Linked DNA regions of Coturnix japonica. Each later gene encodes a partner of the first gene's protein in a complex. Links are inferred from orthologs where the notes say so. Each region holds a gene or a part of one and is shown on either strand. Other genes may lie near its edges.

Region 1 (11,700 bases):
GCAGCTCAGCCGGCTCCCAGCTCACCTGGGACTTAACTCAGAGCACTGCCTTTAATTTGCTTCCACTTATTAAGCAGAGATACAGGAAGAGATGGCCCACAAGTGCATTAAGGACCAAGTAGATGTGAAAGGGGGGTAAAATAGCTTGCTAAGAAGATCTAGATCCAAGGAGTGGGCCAAAAAAAACCACGCTTTTCTGGGGCATCACCCAATTCTGCAGAATTTCACCCATTGCTGCTGTGTAGTGCTGGTCAGCTGCTGCCTCCCCATCCAGGCTTGGTGCCAATCAGCCTGGAGCTGATTCAAACTGTTCTGGAGTGAAAGCAGAGAGGAATGCTGCTTTGGGTCTTGCCCTGATTTAGCGAAACCAGTTTGTATTGGTGTTTATGCAGAGCCTGCTCTGATAAATCTCCAGATTACCACCCGTGTTTATAAGTGTTTTAAATTGGTTTAAGGGATTCTGCTGTGCAACGGTGGAGCTGGAGCAGTAATTCACACCGGGGACAAACAAATAGACAAGTGCTGGAGGAGGGCTCTAATCACTCAAGCTGACTTCAGGTGTGCTGCTCACCTCAACATTGGGGGGGTTCTCATCCTGAATCCCTTTCAGCCCAGTTTAAGCATCCTATATTAGAGCTGGGATAAAAGCTCGTTATAAACACTCTTCTCAAAGCCCAGCTGCAATGCTCCCTGTTTTCTGTGCACTTGCAGTGGGTGCACCACAAGGGGAGACAACCCAGCATCCCCCAACCCAAAACTCAGCATTCTGTTTTAGAGCTGAACAGCCTCATCCCCATCTAATACTGCTCTCCCCCCCCCAACCCCAGCCATCCTCTTGTAGAGGGACCATGTCCTCCATCAGCTGCTCCCATCTTGTCTCTGTGAGGTGCTGAGCTGCAGGAACCACAGCCCTGGCACCCCATAAAAGCAAGCAGAGAGACGCATGTGATCATTATGCAAAGGACTCGCTCCTTTATGGGATTTGGATTATGGTTTGTAACAGACAGAGCTTAACAGCAGAACGCATTTGGTTTTATGGGCGCCATAAAGACGAGCGGCCTCGCACCTGGGAGAGAGCCAAACAAACTGGGTAGAAGCAACAGGAGGGTATTGCAGGGCCAGGAAAACCCAAAAGCAAGGAACCCAAAGCTCACATCCCAAAGCCATTGTCCCAAAGCCAAAGGTCCCAAAGCAAGGATCCAAAAGCCAAGGGTCCCAATGCCAAGGGTCATACCCAAAGCCTAGTGCTGCAGGAGCTCTGCAAGGAGCACTCCCCAGGTGTCTGTAAGTCTAGAGGGCTGAGCAGGAGGGTGACAGGGTGTCAGGCCCAGCTGCAAATCTCTTTTCTTGTGGTAATCATCAATGCTCCCACTGCCGTGAAAATCAAATTACGCGGTGCAGAGATAAGGGTCAGTCCCACACCGAGGGAGGAAGGGGTGGTGGGGTGAGGGTGTGTGGCAGCTGCTTATCACAGGGACGCAGCAAGGATGGAAAATACAAGCGGAGCAGCTGGGGGTGAGGTGACTTTTGCATTGCTTGTTGGGAAAAGGAAAAAGACCTGGGGATGATCAGTATCTCATTGCCACGCTCGAGCTCTTTTGCTCCCTCCAAGATAAACGTTACCCTCAGCCCGTCCTCAATCCCAGCCTTGTCCCTCCTCCCCTTGGCCTGGAAAGAGTTTGATAAATATTTAAGCAAAATGCTTCCAGAGCAATGCATGTTACGACACCAAGCACCGAAACCACAATGCACAGGGACTGCACTGCGCTGCTCCGCTTGCACAGATGCCCTTTGCAGCCAATCTGTCCTCAGCTGGGCCGATCATTACTGCTTTGCCTTGGGAATTTTTAATTGAAACAGCCCCTTGGAAAAACAGCCCATATGTCTGCTGCTCCGGAGAGCAGCCGGCTGCTGGCAGGAGCTGCTCAGTGATACCCCGTGGGAGAAGTCAGCTCCGTGAGTAGGATTTGCAAACACAACACCACGCTGTGCCACGCTGCTGCCTGGCAGCCCCGACCTCGCTGTAGCTGCTCTCATCCTCATTCCCTGGAGAAAATAGGAAACAAACCCAAACAACACCTCCCTTCTCGTTTCCTTCCCTCTGTCTCCTGGAGACGGCCCGTGCAGCCCTTGGTGCTTTTAGGATGGAGCAAAGGAGCATGGAGTTGCTCTCCCTTTATTCTCCTTTTATTCCCTTTGCTCCCATCCCCAGTGCCTGTGATTGCACAGAACTCTGCTCCCCACAAAGCCCTCAGCGCAAGCAGAGCATCCTCTGATCAGAGGAAATCTGCTTGGAAAAGGCACAGGGAGCCCCAGAGCCACACTCTGAAGGGAGATGTAACCACGTTTTCCTCCTCAAAGCTCCAGGATGAATTATTTAGACCAGCAGCACAGCAGCTCTGCTGAATTATTGAGGGGGATTTGGGTTTGGAGGCTGATGAAGCAGAAGCAAACAGAGCTGAGCACTGAATAGTCCCGAGAGGAAGCTGGGTCCTTTTTATCTTATTATTCACCCCATACTCAGTACAAAACCTTGAGAGCTAGAAACTTTGTTTGCTTTCAGAGCCCCCGCAGTGAAATGGTGCTTAGGAGGAATCCCTGTTGCATGAGACCTGGGCTGGGAAAGCAGGACGTGGCGGTGTGACTGGCGCAGCTCATCAGATGAACACCACAGATCAATAATGAGAGCCACACAATAACATATCACTGTTTTGCAACATTGCCGGGCAGGGAGAAGCTGCTTTGTTTAACTGCAAAAGCAAACTTTGCTTTGAGGCTCTGGGGACGTGGTCTGGGCTTGTCTCTGTTTTAGCATCAAGCAAAGGAAGAGGCTGCGAAGCGACCGAGGAGATGAGAAATGGATGAGCTCTTATCATTAATTTTAATGGGAAAGGAGCGGATGAATCCCAGAAGTGGGAGAGGAAATTTCAAGCTGCCTTTACGAGCTCTGGTGTGATACCATTTTCTCATGACCTTTGGTCTGTTTGTTACTGCTAAACTGCCTGGGAGCGAAACCCTCGAGCACAGTGCAATGGGATCGGGGTCTGAATGGGGCTGGGGTTGAATCTCAGCCTTCATCTCCCCCACTGAGACCACTGCTGGGCTGGGAGAGCCGTGCCAAGCTCAGTGCTCAGCACAGCTTCCATTGGGAGGGCTGAGCGTGGTCCTTGCCCTTCCTGTGCTGCCCAGGTTGCTGCTCAAAAAGCACAAAATAAAGTCCCATGTGGGTTCGGTTCCTTTTCCCATCCCTGTTTCCAGTATTGCTTCCTGGGTCTGTAGGGAGAAAAGCCATTAAATACACCTACTCCTTGCTTTTAGTGCTGACCTTATTCTCTTGTAATTTCCTTCAATTGGCACGAGCTTTTATATTATATTATACCCAATTTCAATGGATTTGTAAATAATCTGTTAGCAAAAAATAAAAGAGAAGAGCAATCTCCACTTTATGATTACTTGCTTATCTTTCAAGCTATATACAAAGGAAATAGGATTCGTTTTCAATCTACGGAACCACTTAGAGCTGTGCCAGGGCAAGTATGCGGGAGGGTGATCAGCAGCATCTGCCCAAGCAGTGGATGGGAGTGCCAATGAGTCCTGCAATAATCCATGCAATGAGTCCTGCAGTGATCCATGCAATGAGCCCTGCAATGATCTATGCAGTGAGCCCTACAATGAGCCCTGCAATGATCCATGCAATGAGCCCTGCAGTAAGCCCTGCAATGATCCATGCAATGAGCCCTGCAGTAAGCCCTGCAGTGATCCATGCAATGAGTCCTGCAATGATCCATGCAATGAGTCCTGCAGTGATCCATGCAGTGAGCCCTGCAATGAGTCCTGCAATGATCCATGCAGTGAGCCCTGCAGTGATCCATGCAATGAGCCCTGCAATAAACCCTGCTCCACAAGTGCCCTTTGCTGCTCTTCCCTGGGCTGCTTCATGCTGGGAAACCTTCCATGTGGCTGAGAGGTGAGGCAGACCCACAGGTCAGACTCGTTTGAGGGCACAGCAGTCAGTACAAGTGCTGGCTTGTGCAGGACGGATGGGTCAGGGAGGGCAATTTACAGCCAGGATGAGCTGCTGCCAATGGGGCTGCCATGCTTGGGGGACAGGGAGATGACACAGCATCCCCCCCTCCATGATAAGGGCTGCACACTGAGCTCCATCGCTGCACAATCAAGTCAGGACGATTGCTGTAAAGCTTGCAGACACAACCGCTGCCCCATCTGGTACAGATAACTTCTTGGCTTTGCTGCCTTGTTTTGTTATGACTTACTGTAGAAACACGAAGCCCCGTTTCGAACGAAAATGAACCGTAATTCTTTTTTATGCCTTTTTTCCCCTTGACTGAAACCCTGTTAAATCGTTCCTCCGCACTCACGGGAATACACTTCTCTTCTTCTCTTTCTTCTCTGTCTCCTTCTCCTTCTTTCTTCTTCCTCTCTCCAATTTCTCGCTCCTAAAATAGCAAATTCCAGCTGACTGCTTTCAAGGCAATGAGGCGCCCGCGGGATTGTGGGAGCGTTGCTCAAATCAGCAGAGAAACTAACGAAGCTGCCAGGAAACAATATTAACACACACAAAAAAAGATTGGGGGGGGGGGGGGGGGAGCACTTCACTTTCCCAGCCTGCCTTGCATCTTCAAAGCGCTTCATGAGAACAAAAGAAGTGTTTTTTTTTCATCTCAGAAGTTGGGGGGGGGGGGGGGGGGGAGGAGGTGGATCTCATCTGCCATAAATCAAAGCGCTGCGGTCTGAGCGGAGCTGAGCCCTCATTGCTGCTCTGCTCCACCCCAATGCTGCAGCTCTCCAACACCTGAGCATAGGGCAGGGCTGGGGTAGAGCTCGCCTCTCCGGTTTGCAGTGCTTGCAGCGTGTGAGCAAACCCTGGCACACAGCTTTGTGCCCATGTGCCAAAGGCAGCACCAGGAGCCTGCTCCCATGGGATGCTGTGGGCAGATGGGAGCACAGTGCGCAACCACTTTGGGACTGTCTTTAACCCTGGCCATGAGGCTTTAGCAATGTGCTGGCTTGCTTTCTGTTCCCCCCAACTCATTTGTTACGTTGACGCGGGGTTGGGGACCCACTTGTTGTTCCCTCTTGCAGTGCAGGAGCAGCTTTACTCGCTGCACACCTGGATGAGATGCAGCCACGCAGCTCCATGAGTGGGGCAAGTCCTGATGTGCTGCCAGTCAGTGTGTGCATTCCTGAGTGCTGCGTCAGGCTGAGGCACGGCCAGCAGGCAGGAAAGCTGCCTGGGGTGGGATGAGATGAGAGACCCAGAGAGCAAGGAAGAAGCAAACAGAGCTACCCAGGGAGGCTGCCTGTGCTGACCTCAGCTTGCTGCATTTGGGGCAGTTTTGCTGCCTGAAAGGTCAAGTTGGGCCCAGCAGTGCAGGAGCCAGAGTGGCAGCAGTGTACATGTTGCAGCTCAGCTCCTCATGTCCTCCATTTATTTGCCTTTCCACCCAGTAAACGCATGCGGACGGGCATGTATGAACCTTTATGGAGGGGGGGGTTGTTTGCAGAGCCAAAGCCACTTCACTGAGCATCGAGGCTGCTCTGCTGCTGCCGGGCAGCTTGGCTGGCCCTGAGCCTGTTGGAGCTGGTGCAGATCTGCAGGTACTGTGCCTCAGTTTCCCCTTCCAACTCTTAGGCAGCTCTGGTCATGGTCCCAAAGCTCAGTTCTCTGTTGTAGGGCTGGGAATGTGGCTGGGGAATGATGTGATTCAGGCTGGGAGAAAGCAGAGTCTGCCGTCCCAGCCCCTGCCCTGGATGAGGTGTAGCAGAGCTGTACCCCCCCCCCCTTCTCCTGCCGGCTGCTGCTCGGAGCTTTGGGTTCTCCCCATGCTCAGAGACACCGACGGTGCCAGTCGCTCAACCCGAGCACCTCTTGTCCTCCTTTAACCCCCTCCTCGCCCCAAGTCTGGGAAGCAAAGCGACCCATCTCTCCCCAACACCCCGTGCCGGCCTTGGGGCGGGGGGAGGTGGGAGGTGGGGGCACGGCCGGGACACAAAGGCCGGGGGCTGCAGCGGGGCGGGCCGATACGCGGGGCTCCGAGCTCCTCCTCCTCCTCCGCCGCCTCCGAGCGGGGATGCTGCTGCCGGGCACGCACCGGGAGCCCCGCGGAGCGCTGCGGGCTGCGGCCACACGAGGTAGGAACCCATCGGGGCTGGGGGCGGTGCGGGGGGACCGGGAACCGTCGGGGATGGGGGGCAGAACGGAGCGGAGGGGTTTGCGGATGGGGGGAGCGGGCGGCTGGGGACGGCAGCGAGCATCGCTCCCAGCCGTGAGCTCCGGGATTCGGGTACCCCACATCCGATGGGGTCCTGAGGGTGTCCCCGGCCCCGTAATACGAGCGGTGTTGGGCTCTGCTCCATCTCTTCCATCCCAAGTGTGGCAAACTTCAAGGGGAAAGGAGAGAAGGGGAAGTGTGCGTGATCAGCACCTCGGGTCGGGCTGCTGGTCGTTGGGAAACGTACAGCTGGATGTCCGTCTGCCTTTGGGCTGCTGTGGGCATCGTGCCGTGCTCGTGTAGGAAATGATTTGCTTGGGAGAGCGTGGGGAAAGCGGGTGGGCGGCGTGGGTGCAGGGGGCTGCTGTGGTTCCTCCGTGTGCGGGGGCTGATGGTGTCGGGATGTTGATTGTGAGCCTGTAGCTGGGCTCTGCTGGTCGTGTGTCAGCCTTTCCTTGTGCCGGTGCCGTCCTGTGTGTGTGTGTATGTGTGCACGGGGAGAGGTGAGGATGAGCAGAGGATGCAGAGTTCTCCGATCCTGGAAAGCCAGCGATTCATCTCTGCCCTTAGAAGCAGAGCTTGGGCTTTGTTGCTGTGGTTGTGGTGGGAGTCAGTTTGGGTCTTCCCTTCTCATCAACTCCATAGAGCCCCATAGAGACAGCGTTCAGCCCCAGCACTGCACTCCTATCTTCCTTAGGAGTTTGCACCCTGCTGTCTCCAAAGGGTGGGATACCCACAACTATTCTCAGGTTCAGGAGCATTTATCTGCTCATCGGTGTGTTGAACCCAACTGCTCCCAGTGGGTCCAACACACATCTGTTGGCTCAGGGATATGAATGAGCTCAAAGCCATACCTCCATCGCTGACCTCCCCCTGTACACCCCAGCTCCATCTGCATCACTGCTGATGGGCACTCTGTATTTGGTTTCCTGCTGTCCCCTTTGGCTGACCCCCCAGCAGTGCCGTGCCCCAGGCACCTCCTCCCCATTGCACACCACTCTATAAGGGCATTTTGGTGCTGACAAGTGAGCTGAGACCTGAGAACTCAGCACAGGGAGCAGCCTGGTGTTCACTCAGCACTTCCTATGGTCGTCCAGATTCCTCCGGAGAGCTTGTTTTCCTCCTCGAAGGCTGCAGCAAGTGCAACACGAGCAGGAAACAAAGTCTGTGCTATCAGTCTCACTGATAGCATCGCTCCAGACGCCAACGAACCTTCCTTTTGAAATAATCAGTAATGCAGCCTGCCTGGCTGCCTGATCCCAGCCTCCCCCACCAGCTGCGCTCACGGCCACGGGCTCACACCTCCATCCAGCCCAGGACCCCCCCCACCCCATGCTATTAATCACCAGGGCCATTAATCAGCGGGACAAAGAATTACACCAACCCCATCGGCACAAGCAATCAGCGGAGGGGGGCAATTAATGGCAGCTGCAAAAGTGAGCTCGGGAGCACAATTGGGCGCTGCGGGGGATGCTCGTGGCTCCCACTGGGCTCTGTGTGCCCCCAGCTGTGCCTCTATTGACCCCCCCCCCCCTCCTCCTGGTACCGGGGCTGCTAAATCAGTCCTGAGCCGTTCCTTCCACCCACCCCTTAGTCACTCTTCCTTGGCGCTGTGCAGAGGTGGGAGGCGAATGAATTTGAGGCTCAAGGAATGATTTCAAGAAGAGGGATGGGTGTAAAGGACCAACAGGCAGAGCAGCCCATACAGACAAGGGCAGACCCTGCTCCAAGCAGAGGGACGTGTGAAAGTGATGCCAGCAGGTGCTGGGATGCAGGTTGGGGCACCTCAGAGCTTCAGTCCCATCTCATCCCTCCTCACTCCAATGCTATCATTCACCTTCAATCGCTGTTTTCCCCTCCTGAAAGCCTTTATTTGCTGCAGGCAGGTACAGTCATGCTCAGCACACACTCAGGTGAGGCATTTAAGGCATGCAAGAGGTGGGCAGCCGCCAAGCAGGCTCTATACAACCAGGAGACAGAGGAATGGAGCAGCTCCCCACCCCCTTTGGGACCATGCAAAAAACCCATTCAAAACCACATGCAGCAGTGAGAGCTCCCAGTATCACCCCCAAAGTATTGAATGGATAAGTGTGACAATAGCATTGCTGCAGCAAACTGCTGCTGAAGCCCCTGAATGCTGCATGCACTGATAAGTAGTTCTTATGGAGGTACTGAAACCCCTCTGCCCTATTCACCATTGCAATCTGGGGGCTGTGAGCTGCTTGCAGGGGTGCGGGCAGGAGCAACGTGGGTGGTTAAAGTTAAAAATGAGTTAAAAATAGCAGGGAATGCACGAAGGTTTGGCATGTGGGTCACAGAGGATTTCCTGCAGGGGCTGTTTGCCAGCGTTGTTGGGTGTTAAGGGCCCCCCTAGAGCAGGAAGGCTGGGTGGGTTGGTTCTGGAAGTGCTGGGCTGGGATGCTGTTCCTGCAGCACTCTGCAGCTGGGAGCTCAAGGCAGCTGCGTTCAGCCCTTCCTCTTCCTCCTGCAAAGTTCTTGAGCTAAAAGCAACCTCTGTTATCCTATTGCAAGGCCTCAGCAAGGCAGCTCCTTCCAACAGAGGGTAGCAATGCATGTTGTCCTCCTTTGGGATAAAGGGGGGGGTTTAATTATTTCTTAGGGATCTATGGAGCAAGCATCTCCACCGAGCAGCGGATTCCTGCATGCAGAAGGGAGAAACGCATTCCCTTCCAATCCTGCAGAAGCAAATGGTGTCAGAGGGAAAGTTGGAAGGCGTATCTCGATATTTAATTGCCTTTTAGCAAAACATCAGCCCTAACAGCAGCAAAAGGCAGAGCTGGATCACAGAAATGCCCCCCTCTGAAATGCAAGCGGCTGTGTTTGGTTTATTTTAAACAATTAAACGCCATCTCCATCAGCCACTTGTGGATGATCTTATTTAAAGGTTAATTGAATATTCCCTGCAACTTTGATGTGCATTTCTCTTCGGAGAGAACTGCTCCATTTGGCAGCCAGGCATTAAAGGGGTGGAATGCGCAATGGGCCAATTCGAGGAGGGGGGGGGATAAAAAGAGGAGGAGGGAAATAGGAAGCGAGAAATGAATTTGCCTTTTCTTTTCCCTTCTGTGGCTGCTGCACCGAAGCAGTTGAGCAGAGCAGGGATGGGGGAATGTAATGCTCTGGAAAGGAGCTGGAGGAGATGAGCAGGCAGCAGCATCACAGCAGATGCTCTGCATGGTAGGGATGGAGCCTGGCTTGTTGTCAGCAGGCAGAAGTTGCCTTTTCTCAGCTCTGTCTTGGCTGAGCACTGCACGGGGTGCAGAAATAGAGAAATCACAGCACAACTGGTACCGCAGACAGGGGATGATGGTGCAGAAGGAGTGCATGGCTTTGCTCTGAAACTCAGGTGCCAGGAAGCCAATGTGGGCTTAACACAGAGTGCCTTGGTTTGGTGGTAGACATGAAGTCCTACCTTAGAGAAATTCTTTCCCTGATATCATCTTTCTGCTAAGTCAGGGGTTGAGAGCCCTCAGCTATCCAGGCTAGTGATTTTCCCCTCCCAGCACTTTGCAGAGCGCCCAGAGAACATGGATTTGCTTTTGTAGCCCCAGAAGGCACTCAAAGCCCATGGGAGGGGAAGGGGCAGCAGCATGGAGGAGACAAGGGCTCCTGGCTGCTCCTCTGCCTGCTGGGGGGGGTAGGCAAGAAGAGCTCTGCAGATGGAGCCTGGTCTCCATGGCAGCCCACAGCTCCAGATCTAAATTCTTCCCTGTCCATGGAGAAGATGCTTCTCCTCCATGTGCTCCGGGGGGGCTGCAGCAGAGTCTCAGTTTGGAACAGGGAGGGAATTGGTTATTTAAGGGAATGGGAGAAAACCTTGGTGCTCCCACCTTGGTACAACCCATAGGGCAACAGACATCCCATCACTCACTCATGCCATACCCATGATTGGGGGTGGGGGGGGCAGAGGAAGATGCATGCAGAGCTCATGGAACGGAAAGCCAGGAGGAGCCGTATTTAGGGCACAGCTCTGGTTACGTGAAGCTTTCGCTATTTCTGGCTGCATCTTTTGCATCAATGAGATCCTGGGGAAAAAAAAATAAAAGAAGCTCAAGGAAGACGTGCGGGACAGACACTGCGCTGAGCTGTAGGGATGGAAGGACAGCATTCTGCACATCCCAACCACGCTCAGGGGCACCTGCCAGGCGAGGCAGCCCATTGCCAGCCCCCCCTTTTTTTGGGTGCTCCCCCCTCTATCCTCACACCCTGCCAGATTGTGTTTTACAGGGTCGGAAATAGATGCGTGAGAAGGGGCCTCGCAGATCCCAAGTGAAAGCCATGCTCAGCTGTCACCCACCCCAGCACCAGCTGCCAGCCCCAGACTGTTCCCAAAATAAGCAGCCCACAGCTCTAGGGCACGACGTGGTCGATTCCCACCTGCCAACCCTACAGACCCTCTCAGCTCCCATCCTGGGGCTGCAAAATCAGAGCTCAATAGAGGAATCCTGGGTGTCACCAGACCTGAGCATTTCTGCATTTCCAATTAGCAGGGCTTTAATTGCAGCGTTGGTTGCTTGTTAGCAGGAAAAGCCAGATGCTCTTAGGAGTGAAGTGAGCTGAAAGGATCTTTCTCCCCACCCAAGGAATATTTAAGTGTGTCTCATGCAAACACATTTCCATTGTGCTGGGAACATGACTGTGAGGACATCTGGGTGCTGCTTGGATGCTGATTCACCAGGTGCCAGGGTCTATCCACTATGGGAGCAGGGCAAAGCTGGAACAGCTCAGGGTGCTCTTGTGTAGCATATGTGGGGCTCTTTCTGCACAGCCAGGTGAAGGTTGGGAGATGGAGCTCCACCATAAGCTCACATAGCAACCCTACAGGGCAGTGCATCCCTGAGCTGGGGGGCACTGAGTGCAGTGTGTTATAGGGCAGTCCCTTTGGGAATCATCTCCTTTGGGCACCAGAAATCACAGCTTCTCCTGAATATAACAGCCTGCTGTGGCCATCCAGCACCAAGTGCTCATGGTTGGTCTTGCTCTGAAGTCCCTCTTGGGTTGGAGAGGCAAAAAACATGATCTGTCACTTCTGTAGCCCACGTAGCAGCATGTGCTATTAGCGTAGGCGAACTGTCCAGTAAGCATTAGCAGCGCAGAAAGCACAAGGCTCTGCAGGAATGCAGACACTTGAAGTCCAGGCTTTGCTGACTTGTATTTCTGCAGGTTGTGCAATCATCCGCAGCAGTGCAGGAGCCTCTCCCTGCCTCCAGCAGGGTTTCTGCACAGGGAAATACATCGGCTTCCCCACAGAGGGATCAGACGGAGTGAGAGGAGGCATTGCGCAGCGGGTGTTGAGTCAATATCCTCTCCAGCTCTCTGTGCCAATATGATTCATTGTTAATTCAAGAAATTCCTCTTACCTAGTACCGGGTTCCCTAATCGTGGCTTAATCCAGGCGCCTCAATGCCACCTACATCATCACACCAACGCCCATTAAGGCCACTTG
Region 2 (11,017 bases), on another chromosome or scaffold:
GCAAATGTATCCTCAATATGGGTCCTACTGGTCTTTGTCTTGTTTTCAGAGATGTCACTGACTGCACCAGAATGGTTTTTGTTGTCAGAAATGAATTCCTTCTAGTGTTAGTTGCAGTGGAAAATGCAGTACCTGTTGCTGTGGTCAAGGGTGGATCTTTATTCTGATGTATCTTCAGCGTATGGTGGAAATGTTGTTTTCACTGTTGTGCTGTAAAGATGAAGTGGAAAATTCCCCCGTAACACAAGGACAACAAATTCTGTGGTATATACTTTAAAAGCAGAGCGAAGAAATAGTCTGTGCTGTTTTGATAGCATACCACAAAGCCAGTTGTATGATGCTGGAACATGCAGACAGGCCCACTGTGATTGCAGGAGTGGCTTCTGTGCTGTTAGATAAGACAAGTGCATTAATGCTGACTTTTCAGTGCAGCCATGGTGCACCTGTTTCGTACAATGTTGGTTTGTTGTAACAACCTCTTTGTAACCCCTCTGTCACATCTAACATCAGACCTTGCATCATTGTAGCTACTCAAAGAGTGCAACATCTTGGTGCTCCTAAGCCACTAGGTCTTTTGAGAAATGTGTTTGTGAGTTGCTAGGCTCCTTCCTGATGTGAGATGCCAATGCAATGAAGTTTGATCCAGATGCAGAGGCTGGAACTGGGTTCACAGGCACTGGGGCATGAGCTTCTGCCAGCAATGTTCATGTGATCCAAACAAGAAAGAGAGACAAATGATGTGCTGTAGCCTTCCTCTCGGGCTCTGGAAGGAACACAGCATGTTGCAAGTAGAGCTACCCCCTTAGATTAAGTTGCATATCCAGTGTTTTTCTTATTTTTAGCTTCAGGTTACATACTCACTGTTTTTGTTTTTCCCAATTGTGAATTCTAAACCCTTAAAGCAAATGTGTGGAGTGAGAGGCTGTTTTCTGTTCCAGCATTTGCTTGCAGAATGGCATTATTGTAGTGAAGCACCATTGCTTTATCTGCTCAAGTCATCCAATTAGTTCTGTCCAGTTTGGTTCTTCTAGGCCCTATTAAAAAAAAATCAGAGCAAATACACATTTTGCAGAGGCTGTTAAATAAAATGAGCACCATAAGCAGCGCTCTTTTTGCTCATCAGTTGTATCATGAGTAGTAGGACTGAAACAATTGTTGTAGTGAGGTTTAAACTAGTTTGTAGGGTTTTTTTCCTGCTTCTGTCATTCAGTGGAAAGTTGGTGTTTGGATACTTGAGTGATAGCAAGTAATATTAAAATGGGTGAATCTTACACCTTAACACTTGCTCTGAATTACTGCTTACTTTTAAGGTTAAGTTTTCTCTATATTTATACTGTTTGAAGCTTGCTAACGGTAAGTCAGCAGTGGGGCTGCCTTTTATGCTTGATCTCAAAGCGTGCTGCAGGCTCCCTGCAGGTGCTCTGTGCAGGCTGGGAAAGGAGCATTGCAGCTGTATGAACTGATGCAACGTTCTCACCTGCAAAAGATCAGTAAGGCCTTCCTTCAGCACTAACAATGAGATTATTAGATCTATGGCGTTTTCTTCACAAGGTCCCACTTGTGGATAAGTTTACCAGTGTACAGATGAGGATTTTGGGGATGGTTTGAGCTGATTTGTTAACAGTGGGTAGTGAAGATGATGTCTTAGCTGTTGCTGTCCTGTTTGCAGACCTGCAGTTACTTGAGCTGGGCAGTTTCCCTAGCTCTCCATCAGGCCCAAAAGTCAGACCTCACATCTCACCATTACATGGGTAACAGTTGGTAAAATGATACCTACAAACTTCAGTTTTGGTCACCTGCAGAATGTAACAGCACAACAGCTGCTTGTTAGTCTATAATGGCAGCATGATTGGTACTACACACACCTGAAGCTGATGAAGCACTTTTAGGTTAGCTCTGTTACCTTAAATATGTCTAAACCAGAAGTTGGCATTACAGATACATTCCTTATGAGTGCACAACTTCTAATGATCACTCATGAAGACTGCAGCTTCTTTCCTTTGAAGTTGTTCTCTTGTGGTGTTTAGGAGGATTCGTGCATCATGGACTCACTGCTTTTGGTGCCAGGAGTATACATTAAAGCTTTGGTGACTTAGAGACTTGAATGCCTCACTTGATGTCCAGGATATAGCATAGAGCAGCTAACATAAGATATATTCATAGAATAGCTTGGGTTGGAAGGGGGCTCAAAGATCATCTGGTTCCAGCCCCTCACAATTGTAAGGCCTTGTGAAATACTAGCATTTCATGCTTTTTTTTTCTTTTTTTTGCAGACATTGGTTGGAATATAAGAACACAATAATATGGTTGTTGTTCTTTCTCCGTCCATAGAGCTTAAAAAATAGGAACCTAAGTGACACAAGAAGATGATAGTTGCATTTGAGCTCTTTGTCAAACACGTACTGTCCATTTTCAAAATGCCATTTGAATGAGAACACATTCAGCTTGTTTGAGTCCTGAAAGGGATGAGGAAAAGTGGGTTGTGAGAATCATGAATGCTGATTACCCTTAATCCACAGGACTTTCTTCTATGTTATTTCTTCGGTTTAAATGTATTAGAATACTTCAGAAACAACCATGCTCTTTGATGGTTAGCTCCATGCTAGACATTAAGTCATGTCATGATATGCTTTTCCTGCTTTATACAGTTAGGTTGACACCAAGAAGTATTGTCCTCCTCCTGTTGTCTGTGTAACCTTAGTGCTTGGGGCTCAGTCCTGTTGGCCATCTGAATGGACAAAATAGTGCATTAGAAGCAAGTGCATACACATGCTGGAATTCGTTTTCTGCATGATATATGCAGTGACTTTAATGAAATGATGTATTGATGTAGAAAAGTCTGTCTTGAACAACATGGTACTTTATCAATCAAAAAGGAAGATGTTCCTTTTGTTTTTAGTGTGCTACTTTGCTAGAGTTATTAGTGTTTTAAGCAAACTTTGTCAGGTTGAGTAAGTGAGCTTTACTTTCACTAAATATAACTTCTTTTTATTAAAGTTACAGATCTTACTCTTGCCATATGCAGCTAATTTTCCTTTGGGGGGAAAAATGCTTGTTACTTTTTTAGTGGAGCAATCTGTTACCTTGTCTGTAGTCTGTGAAGTCAGTGCAATTCTAATTTGCATCAGCTAATAAAAAATGTGTGGGTTTTTAAGTGGAAATCATGCAAAAATTAAAAAGAAGAAGGAAAAAAAAGAGAAGGTGAACTAACAACTGATCAACTATGCAAAAACAAGGCTGGAAATGTGATCAAATTAGGTCATGGCAGTGCAGTTTCGTGCGGGGCTGTGAGCATATCTGCAGACCTTGTGTGTTTCATCTTGGGAAGCAAAGCTCTTAGAGAACGTGCATACGAGGGATGAAGAGAGCTTTTTTTCCATCCTCTTTTTCTGAGCTATCGTCAGCAAAGCACAATCATATGTTGCACGAAGTGACAAATTTTAAGCTGAAGGTTCAGTTCTTAAAATTGTTCTGATGCAACAGAAACAACTCCCAGTCTGTGTGATCTGCCATACGATGAAGTAATTAATGCTTTTATTATTTGTTACGTTATTGCAGTGTGTAAGAATGGGAAGGGTCCTCTCTGAAGGGTTCTTTCAGGCTAAGTGGATGAAATGCCAGCTGGACAGAAGTGTACAGAGATTTAATGAAATAATATTGGCCAGGAAAGGCTCATGGCAGTGCTTTGAGCAGAGGTCAGCTGTTGGGACTGGTGCTGTTATCTGCCAGGAGGAAGGATAAGAAAGGCTGGGAGCTGGGTAGGAATGGGTACTGGAGTTCAGTGAAGTTGGATATTGAAAGGAAAGGGTTTAGGTGTAAAGAAAAGGGTGATGATTTTTGAACTGAAGGTATTGCTTCTGTTAGAACGGTGTGTTCACTTATCTAAAACACAGTGTATGTTAGCTTGAGTTGGTCATGTTGGGGAGAGTAGGCTTACCTAGTGGTGCTGAAGGACCATTGGATGCTAAATGGGAAAAGGCAGCGCTCTACCTTCTCAGGTTGTATTCTTGAGACAGAGAAACACAGATGGGGTGGAAATAAATAGCCAACACTTGGGAAAAGCCAAGTGGATCCCTAAGTTATTTTTTTCTGGCATTTGGCTCCCACAGGAAAACATTGAGCAGTTGGGCAGAAATACATACAGTAACCTTTGCATTCTTGTTCCATAGCAGGAACAGATATGTGAAACTGTCAGAGAAGTGGTTAGGTGATTCCTTCAAGGTTTACTCTGCAGAGGAAGCACATCTCTGGTTTCTCTTGTTTTCCACAGATTATTCTCTGTAGCTTTTTTTTCACCTGGCAGAAGCAAACTTCTCACCCCAGTGTCTGAAGTACTCTCCGATAATGGAAGAAAAACCACATATTTGTGGCCTTTTTTGACATAACTGCATTAAAATGTAGCACTCTAGTAGTGGTACAGGATAAAAACAGGTTGACCTCTGACTCTTACTGTTTGCACCTAACAAGAAATATCGTTCTTTTTAAGGGTTAGCAGGCTGTTTGACACGCATGGACACACAAGATTATGAATAGTGAAGAAAATGAAGAATGGAACATTCATCAAAGACTGACAACCTCTTATAAGGTAATTCAGGGACATGTTGAGTTCATGCTTTTGTACTTGCAGAATCACTTAAGTTCTTGTTACTGTCACTTTTTGTCATGGCAGTGTACAAATACTAACAATGTATAGGTATGTATTTTCCATACCTTTCCATCTTAATTTTTTACTTGCATATAAGAAGCCAATGTTGCAGCAATCTAATTGCATCCTGTGTTCTCAGTGACATTGGTTATATATGCAAAACATTAAATATGAAGTGCCTATTGGAGAAAGGCTTTCAGTAGACTCCCTTCTCTTCCCCAAAGATTGACTCAGTAAGTGTGGATTTGTAAATGGGATCTGTGGAGTGGATGTGAGCATATTTCCCAAGCTGGCATGTGTCTAGAGCTATCTTGAAACCTTCAGTGTTGTGGTTAAATATTCTTGTAATTTGAATTTTATTGCTTGCCATAGGGGTGAGATAGAAGAGGAGATACTCACAGAAACTACACAAGTGATAAAAGGAGCTGCTTATGCTCGACTTTGTCTTCTGCTTTGTATGTTTTAGTACTTATGTACTTTAGTACTAGCTGATTTGAATAAGCTCTGCTAGTCACATGCAACATATGGGGCCAGTGCCAACGTTTTATAATGCTGCATTACAAATGTACCCACCAGCTGAGAAGTGTGATATGAAGAGCTTTGCTTTCTCTTAACCAACTGTCTTTGTAGGTATGTTTTAGGGTATTCTGCTGGCTCCTTAAATGAAAAATCCATTTCTTCTTATTTGTGTGGTCTCCCTTGACCTTACTTAATAGGTGGAATTTCATTCTAGATTGCACTATTAACAGCACTGTTAATGAAGTCAAGCTCACTGTCTGCAAGTGAGAGCATTCTGAAGTGCTAACTGGAGTTCAGAACAGAGCTTAGCAAAAATATATTACAGGCAAGAGAAATACTTCTGTTGTCATTAGATTAGTCAAGTTTGATTGTGTTTGTTTCGTCTTGTTGTTTGTTTTTTTTTTATTATAATGCAAAAGCTGAACCGCTGCTAACCTGAGTTAGCAGGTGCCAATTTGTAAATCACCTTTCCTTCCAGAGCCAGGTAATGGAGTTCATTCTATAAAACAAAACTGAATCTGTAGCTAAGGCATGTATTGAGCTAAGAAGTTGTCTTCTAATGCCCTATGCTGAATGTTGGCATACGGACTATCTTGAAGCATCAATAAATGTCAATGGCAGGCATTGGCTGTACATAATCTCAGCTTTTGCTGTGTAAGTATGGTGATTGTAGCTACCTGTTTGTTATTAGTTTCTCTGCAGGCAGCACATAATAATTCGTTTGCAATGGGCACAAGTAGGTTATAAGTAGAGTGAATAGCCCTCGAAGCCTTCATCCAAAAGGATGGCAGTGATTGATGTTTTCACTTTTCTATTGTCTGTGTGCATATCTGGATCACAGGAAAACAAGTGCCTAGTGGGATATGAGAAGTTGATTGCGGTGTCTTTTGAATGACCTATGAATCATGAGGATGTGGAATCCTTATGATATTTGCGTAAATGAAGGTTTAGGTGATGATGTTGTTTGCTATCTTGATAAAATAGGGTTGCTATAAATTTTAACGATTGCTTAAAAATTCGTTTTCATCTTCAGAATTTCTCATTATACTTTACTCTTAACTTTATAGCAATGTAAATTCTTTCTTTTTTCCCCCCTTTTAAAATCTTTGAATTCATTGTTAATACCCACTGCAGTTGTTTCTAGGTAATTGCTGTGACTTCTGTTACTCAGCATTCCCTTTCTTCATTTCCCTGCTTTTATTCTTTCTTCGATTATTCTTTTCCATTCTAGGGGTAGCTGTTAATGGGATATGATACACAGTGCATGTGAAAATGCAAACACTTCACAGACTTTGTACTGTGAAAGAATTCTTAAATACCTGCATTTTTTTTCTTGTCCCTAGCTGGGTAGCAAGTAGAACTGCAGATGAGTGCTTTTCAAACAGAGCACAGAATATTATACTTATTTCTTTCCCAATGTATGCTGGTATCTAGGCTCTTTTGCAATGGCCATTTTAGAGACCCTTTCAGCCCAGCATTCTCATATACTTTATCAAGGTAATTATAAATTGAATTTTTCTGATTTGCATTGTCATGTCTCATGTAGTACTATCTTTGTCAGATCTTTGGAATATGAACATCCTTTACAGCATTTATGTACTTATAAAGAAGCCCAAAAGCCAAAATATGGGCAGAAGATTCTAATTTAAAGAAAAGTAAGTAATAAAGTGCAAGGAGAAAGGAGGTTAAAGTTGTCAGTTTGAACACTGATACTTCTAGGATTCCTGTGCAGGAGGTCACAAGAAAACATTCTGTTAGTAATCTGAACATACTTTTTCAATTATTCTTAGAGGTTATTTATTTCTAGGCAGGGGAGAAAGTCATAGTTCAGTCGCTCTAGCAGTACAGTACTGTTTCATGCAACAGTTTAGAGAATGTATTCAATAGTATCTTGAGTCAGCGTTATTAACCATGCTGTGATCTGGAATGAATATTGGGTTCTCAAGATTCCTCATTCTCTTCCTCATTCAGGTACTTTAACTGTGGCTTGCTGTCACTTCTGAAGAAAATATTTACTATTTATTACATGCAAGTGTCCTCTTCAGTTACTGCTTAGTGATGGGAATCATATACCAGGCTTTTGCTAGCAATAGTGAGATAGTGCTTTATCTTATCCTATATATGAGATGACTTTGCTCGGCATATAGGGAGTACATCTTAGCATTGCTTTTACTAGTACTGATTGTTTTTCTAGATCTCTTTCCTGATCGTGGTCCTAATTAATTCATGCTTTATATTGATTCAAGGTGACTAGTGTGACCTCATGACGCTTCTGTAAAAGCCAGACTCAGCTAGGATGTTACACCATCACTGTCGGAGAAACCCTGAGCTACAGGAAGAATTGCAGATTCAGGCTGCGGTTGCTGCTGGCGATGTTCACACCGTGCGCAAAATGCTGGAGCAAGGTTATTCTCCAAATGGTCGAGATGCCAATGGCTGGACACTGCTTCATTTCTCTGCTGCGAGAGGGAAAGAGAGATGTGTTCGTGTTTTTCTTGAACATGGAGGTGAGTTGCCTTGAGAGAAAAAACTTGATACCCAGCTCACAGCTCTCTATCCCAATTCCCATCGTATGGCTTTCCAGTGTCACTTAATTGCCAGACTGCTTCTGTTTGGCTTTTTTTTTCCTCTTTCTTTGGTGCTTCATTTCCGTTTCTGTCCGATGCGTGCTCTGTGAATGAGGTAATAGATTAGCTGTATAACATAAAACCTGACATTGTTTCAGAATTTCCAAGTAATTGTTAAAAGAATGAATACACATTATAAAAACAGGGCAAAGAGCTCATTATAAACTTAAACACACTCACAGGACTTGCTATGGGCCTTTCTACTGTTAGGGGCTGTTAATAGAGGAAGGGCAGATCTTGGGGTTGAAATCTTAGGGAAGAAGTTAATAAGTCACATTAAAGGTTTGAATTTCCATCTAGGTTTTAATGCAGTCTTCTAAACTCTGTGAAAACATTATTACTTTGTGCAAAGACATTGGTGTCAGCTAGTCCAGCTGAGTTCACACTTCTCCTGCACCCACTGCTACTGAAGCTTTAAAGAACTGATTGAGTTTTAAGGGATGTAACTGCATGCGTGGTGTTCATTCCCCACAAATGTAGAGTCAGAATTCTTTTCTGTATCTTCTTTTAAGGCCATCTATAGGTTTAAAAATTCTTGGGTTTAAGCCTTTAATGTGAGATGAGGGGGAAAAAACAAAAGTGGGATGACCTCCACTTTCTGAGTAGTGTTCTATAAGAATAGCATCCTTTACTCTAACACTGTTCTAATCAACTTAATTCTGAATCAGGGTGGCTTCTATTCTTATGAAAACTTAACTGAATTACCTTTTGGGTGCTTTACTTATCTAAAGTTTGGTCCTAGTCCCCTTGTTTCAGATTTCTACATCTGACATATGCTACGTTGCCCTTAATATTGAATGGCATTAATAAAGTGTGGCGTTTGCCCAATTCATGGTGTGTTATTTTAGAGTAGTGAAACATCGCCTAAACATCTAGACCCCATTTATATACCTACTGCAATTTCTAACGGTATAATACTGGGTATTTCTCCTGTCCTTATTGGAGGTGAGGGGAAAGCTACTGAATTACATAAACATGTAACTTTAAACTCTGCATTTTATAGGAAATATACGTAGATAATCTGAGGACTTCTTTAGTTTGATAATTCAAAGTTTCTAAGCTGAGTCTCAAAGGATGTGGTTTTTAAAATGATCAGAAAAACCCTGTAAACCCTGCTTACTTTAGTTGTATGGGTTTTGCTATTAAATAGCTGCTGGCATAATGTTTTGTCTTGTTTTTATTTTTTTGTTGTTATTCTTTTCCATATGAAGTACCAGCTGAATCTGATGCCTGCTGAAAGCTGCCTGTAATGAGACATCTTTGTTCTGTAAGCAGCCAAGAGTTTAATCACCAGGACTAGAAAGTTGAGTAACAAATAGTGTGAGGGTTAGTCATCTACAGCAGCTTTTTCTGTAGCTGAGCCTCCGTTCAGAAAATTGGCACTGATTTGTGCCTTACCTTGTTTTCCCTCAAAACAGATAATATAAAAAAAACAAATCACACATAAAAGATAGTGAGCATTTAAAACATAATAATGTCACAAGTGAGCCAATGAGCTGACTGTTAAAAGCAAACTTAGTCAAGCCTGCCTCATTAGAGAAAGGTTTGTGTGTGCCTTTTGTAACAGCCTCCCCTTTCCTCCCTCTTGAAGTAGATTAATTTGATGATGGATGTTAATCCCTTTGGACCAAAAAGATATTGCAGTGAAGGGAAAAGTCATTTTCTGGTATGAGTCTTATGGTAAACAGCACAGAAGTGACTGGGTGTGTATTAGTAATAAAGGGGAGGCAGTAGGTGGAGTTGTGGAGAGAAAAAAGGGTACCTGAGAGTTAGTGGGAAGAAAGGGGGAGTCTGATAGATGTGGCTGTCTGGTGGTTGTGGAGCTTAGCAGAGCTGGAACTATTCTCAAGTACAGGAATAAGGAAATGCAGGTCTGTTGCTGGGGGAAGAGTGCCATGCCTCACATCTTGGATGCTGTGGGAGCACTGACATAGGCTTGAGTGGTAGTGGGTTTGAGATGGATTTTGGCAAATAAGCACTGAGAGAGACTCTGATCACTGACCTGGAAATAAGAAGTAGCTTCTTATGGGAGTCATGACCTAGCTGTCTCTGACTTTTTCTTTCTCTTCTTTTTCATCATCACTTACCAGCAAAGAAAAGAGCCAGGGGACAGTGCTGTACATGCAGATTGGCTGATGGGAGTGGAGGTGGTGTGGAACAGGAGGAAGCGTTTATTTTCTGCTAAACAAGGAGGAGAGGCAGATAGATGGGGAAATGCCTAAACTAACAACTCACATTTAGAGATGAAGCCAGCAGAAATAGCAACTAGGTACAGAGATAATCGATCATAAAAGTACTCTTATGAAATGCAGAAACTTGATCAGAACTCCAGAGAAACTTAGTTTTCATTCAGAAACAGGGAATTTGACTTAATGCACTTGTCTTATTTTAATGAAATGGAGATGCTCTTTCCTTCCACAGGAACAATCCAGTGTCACAAAGCTCAGTATGAGAGCAACATAAAAACAGGGGATAGTTTTCAGTAATTTAGATAACAAACCTTTATTCCCCTTAAATGCTTTTTTTATTTTCCTTTTTTTTTTTTTTTTTTTTTTTTTTTTTTTTTTTTTTTTTGCTTTCCAAATGATATAGAGACTGACAATAAAATACTGGACAAAAACTTCCCAGCACCAGTGAAGTAACTGTCCACTGAAGCCTTGTCAGTGTGTAGTTGCTAGCTGTCTCTGGGTGATGTTCTCTCAATGCTAATTGAACAGGACAGTTTCTTGTTACTTGCATTAATGCGAGGAAATGATTTGGGAAGGCTCCCAGAAATTAGACTAAAAAAAGGAAGTGTCTAAACAGAGATGTTTATTTTTAGTCTTGGCTGGAAGGTATCTTAATTTTTAGTAAGGTCATGCAGAATCCAGAAGAAATGATTGAGTGCCAAATGCTCAGCCTCCTAAACCAACTCACAGTGGTTCTGTGTCTGAACAGCAATGCCTTCATGGAGGTCTTGTGTATCAGTGTTGTCCTAGGAAATCCAAAACAGAAGATAAATGTAGCCATGTTTCTAAACGTTGTGGTCTGAATTAATTCCTAGTTGTGGGGGAGTGATAGAAGTACTTTATGAAACCAGTAGCTCTGTGTTCTTGGCTTCCCAAATTAAACTGATAGAGCAAAAGCATCCTGAAAGAAGGGAAACTGTTGCACTGAGCAGTAAATTGAAACTAAGATTTTAGACTCTTTCCTAATAACCTATATATTCTCTAGATTACAGTATTAG

What was found.
Region 2: the proteins of LZTS1 (region 1) and ASB7 are in contact, whole or in part, in a crystal structure (PDB 8Y1U), measured with the Homo sapiens proteins. The link is inferred for Coturnix japonica from reciprocal best matches to the Homo sapiens genes LZTS1 and ASB7. Residues at the interface, in NP_001349813.1 of Homo sapiens: Arg346, Glu348, Leu349, Leu352, Met353, Glu355, Gln356, Leu358, Leu359, Glu360, Lys362, Leu363, Arg364, Ser365, Tyr366; in NP_937886.1 of Homo sapiens: Asn46, Trp48, Ala56, Ile79, Phe82, Tyr87, Met90, His91, Asp116, Trp118, Val123, His126, Tyr127, Ser147, Lys149, Thr151, Gln155, Leu156, Ile159, Arg160, Phe182, Arg185, Tyr186, Ile189, Lys190, Arg210, Leu220, Leu223.

What each region holds. Positions count from the first base shown.
Region 1 is NC_029537.1:2,919,071-2,930,770, forward strand, and holds the start of LZTS1 (leucine zipper putative tumor suppressor 1), read left to right. Parts: upstream 1-6,046; 5' UTR 6,047-6,153; intron 6,154-9,357; exon of another isoform or gene 9,358-11,700. UniProt on the Homo sapiens protein: Involved in the regulation of cell growth. May stabilize the active CDC2-cyclin B1 complex and thereby contribute to the regulation of the cell cycle and the prevention of uncontrolled cell proliferation. May act as a tumor suppressor.
Region 2 is NC_029525.1:15,701,210-15,712,226, forward strand, and holds part of ASB7 (ankyrin repeat and SOCS box protein 7), read left to right. Parts: intron 1-4,486; 5' UTR 4,487-4,585; intron 4,586-7,410; 5' UTR 7,411-7,460; coding exon 7,461-7,671; intron 7,672-11,017. UniProt on the Homo sapiens protein: Probable substrate-recognition component of a SCF-like ECS (Elongin-Cullin-SOCS-box protein) E3 ubiquitin-protein ligase complex which mediates the ubiquitination and subsequent proteasomal degradation of target proteins.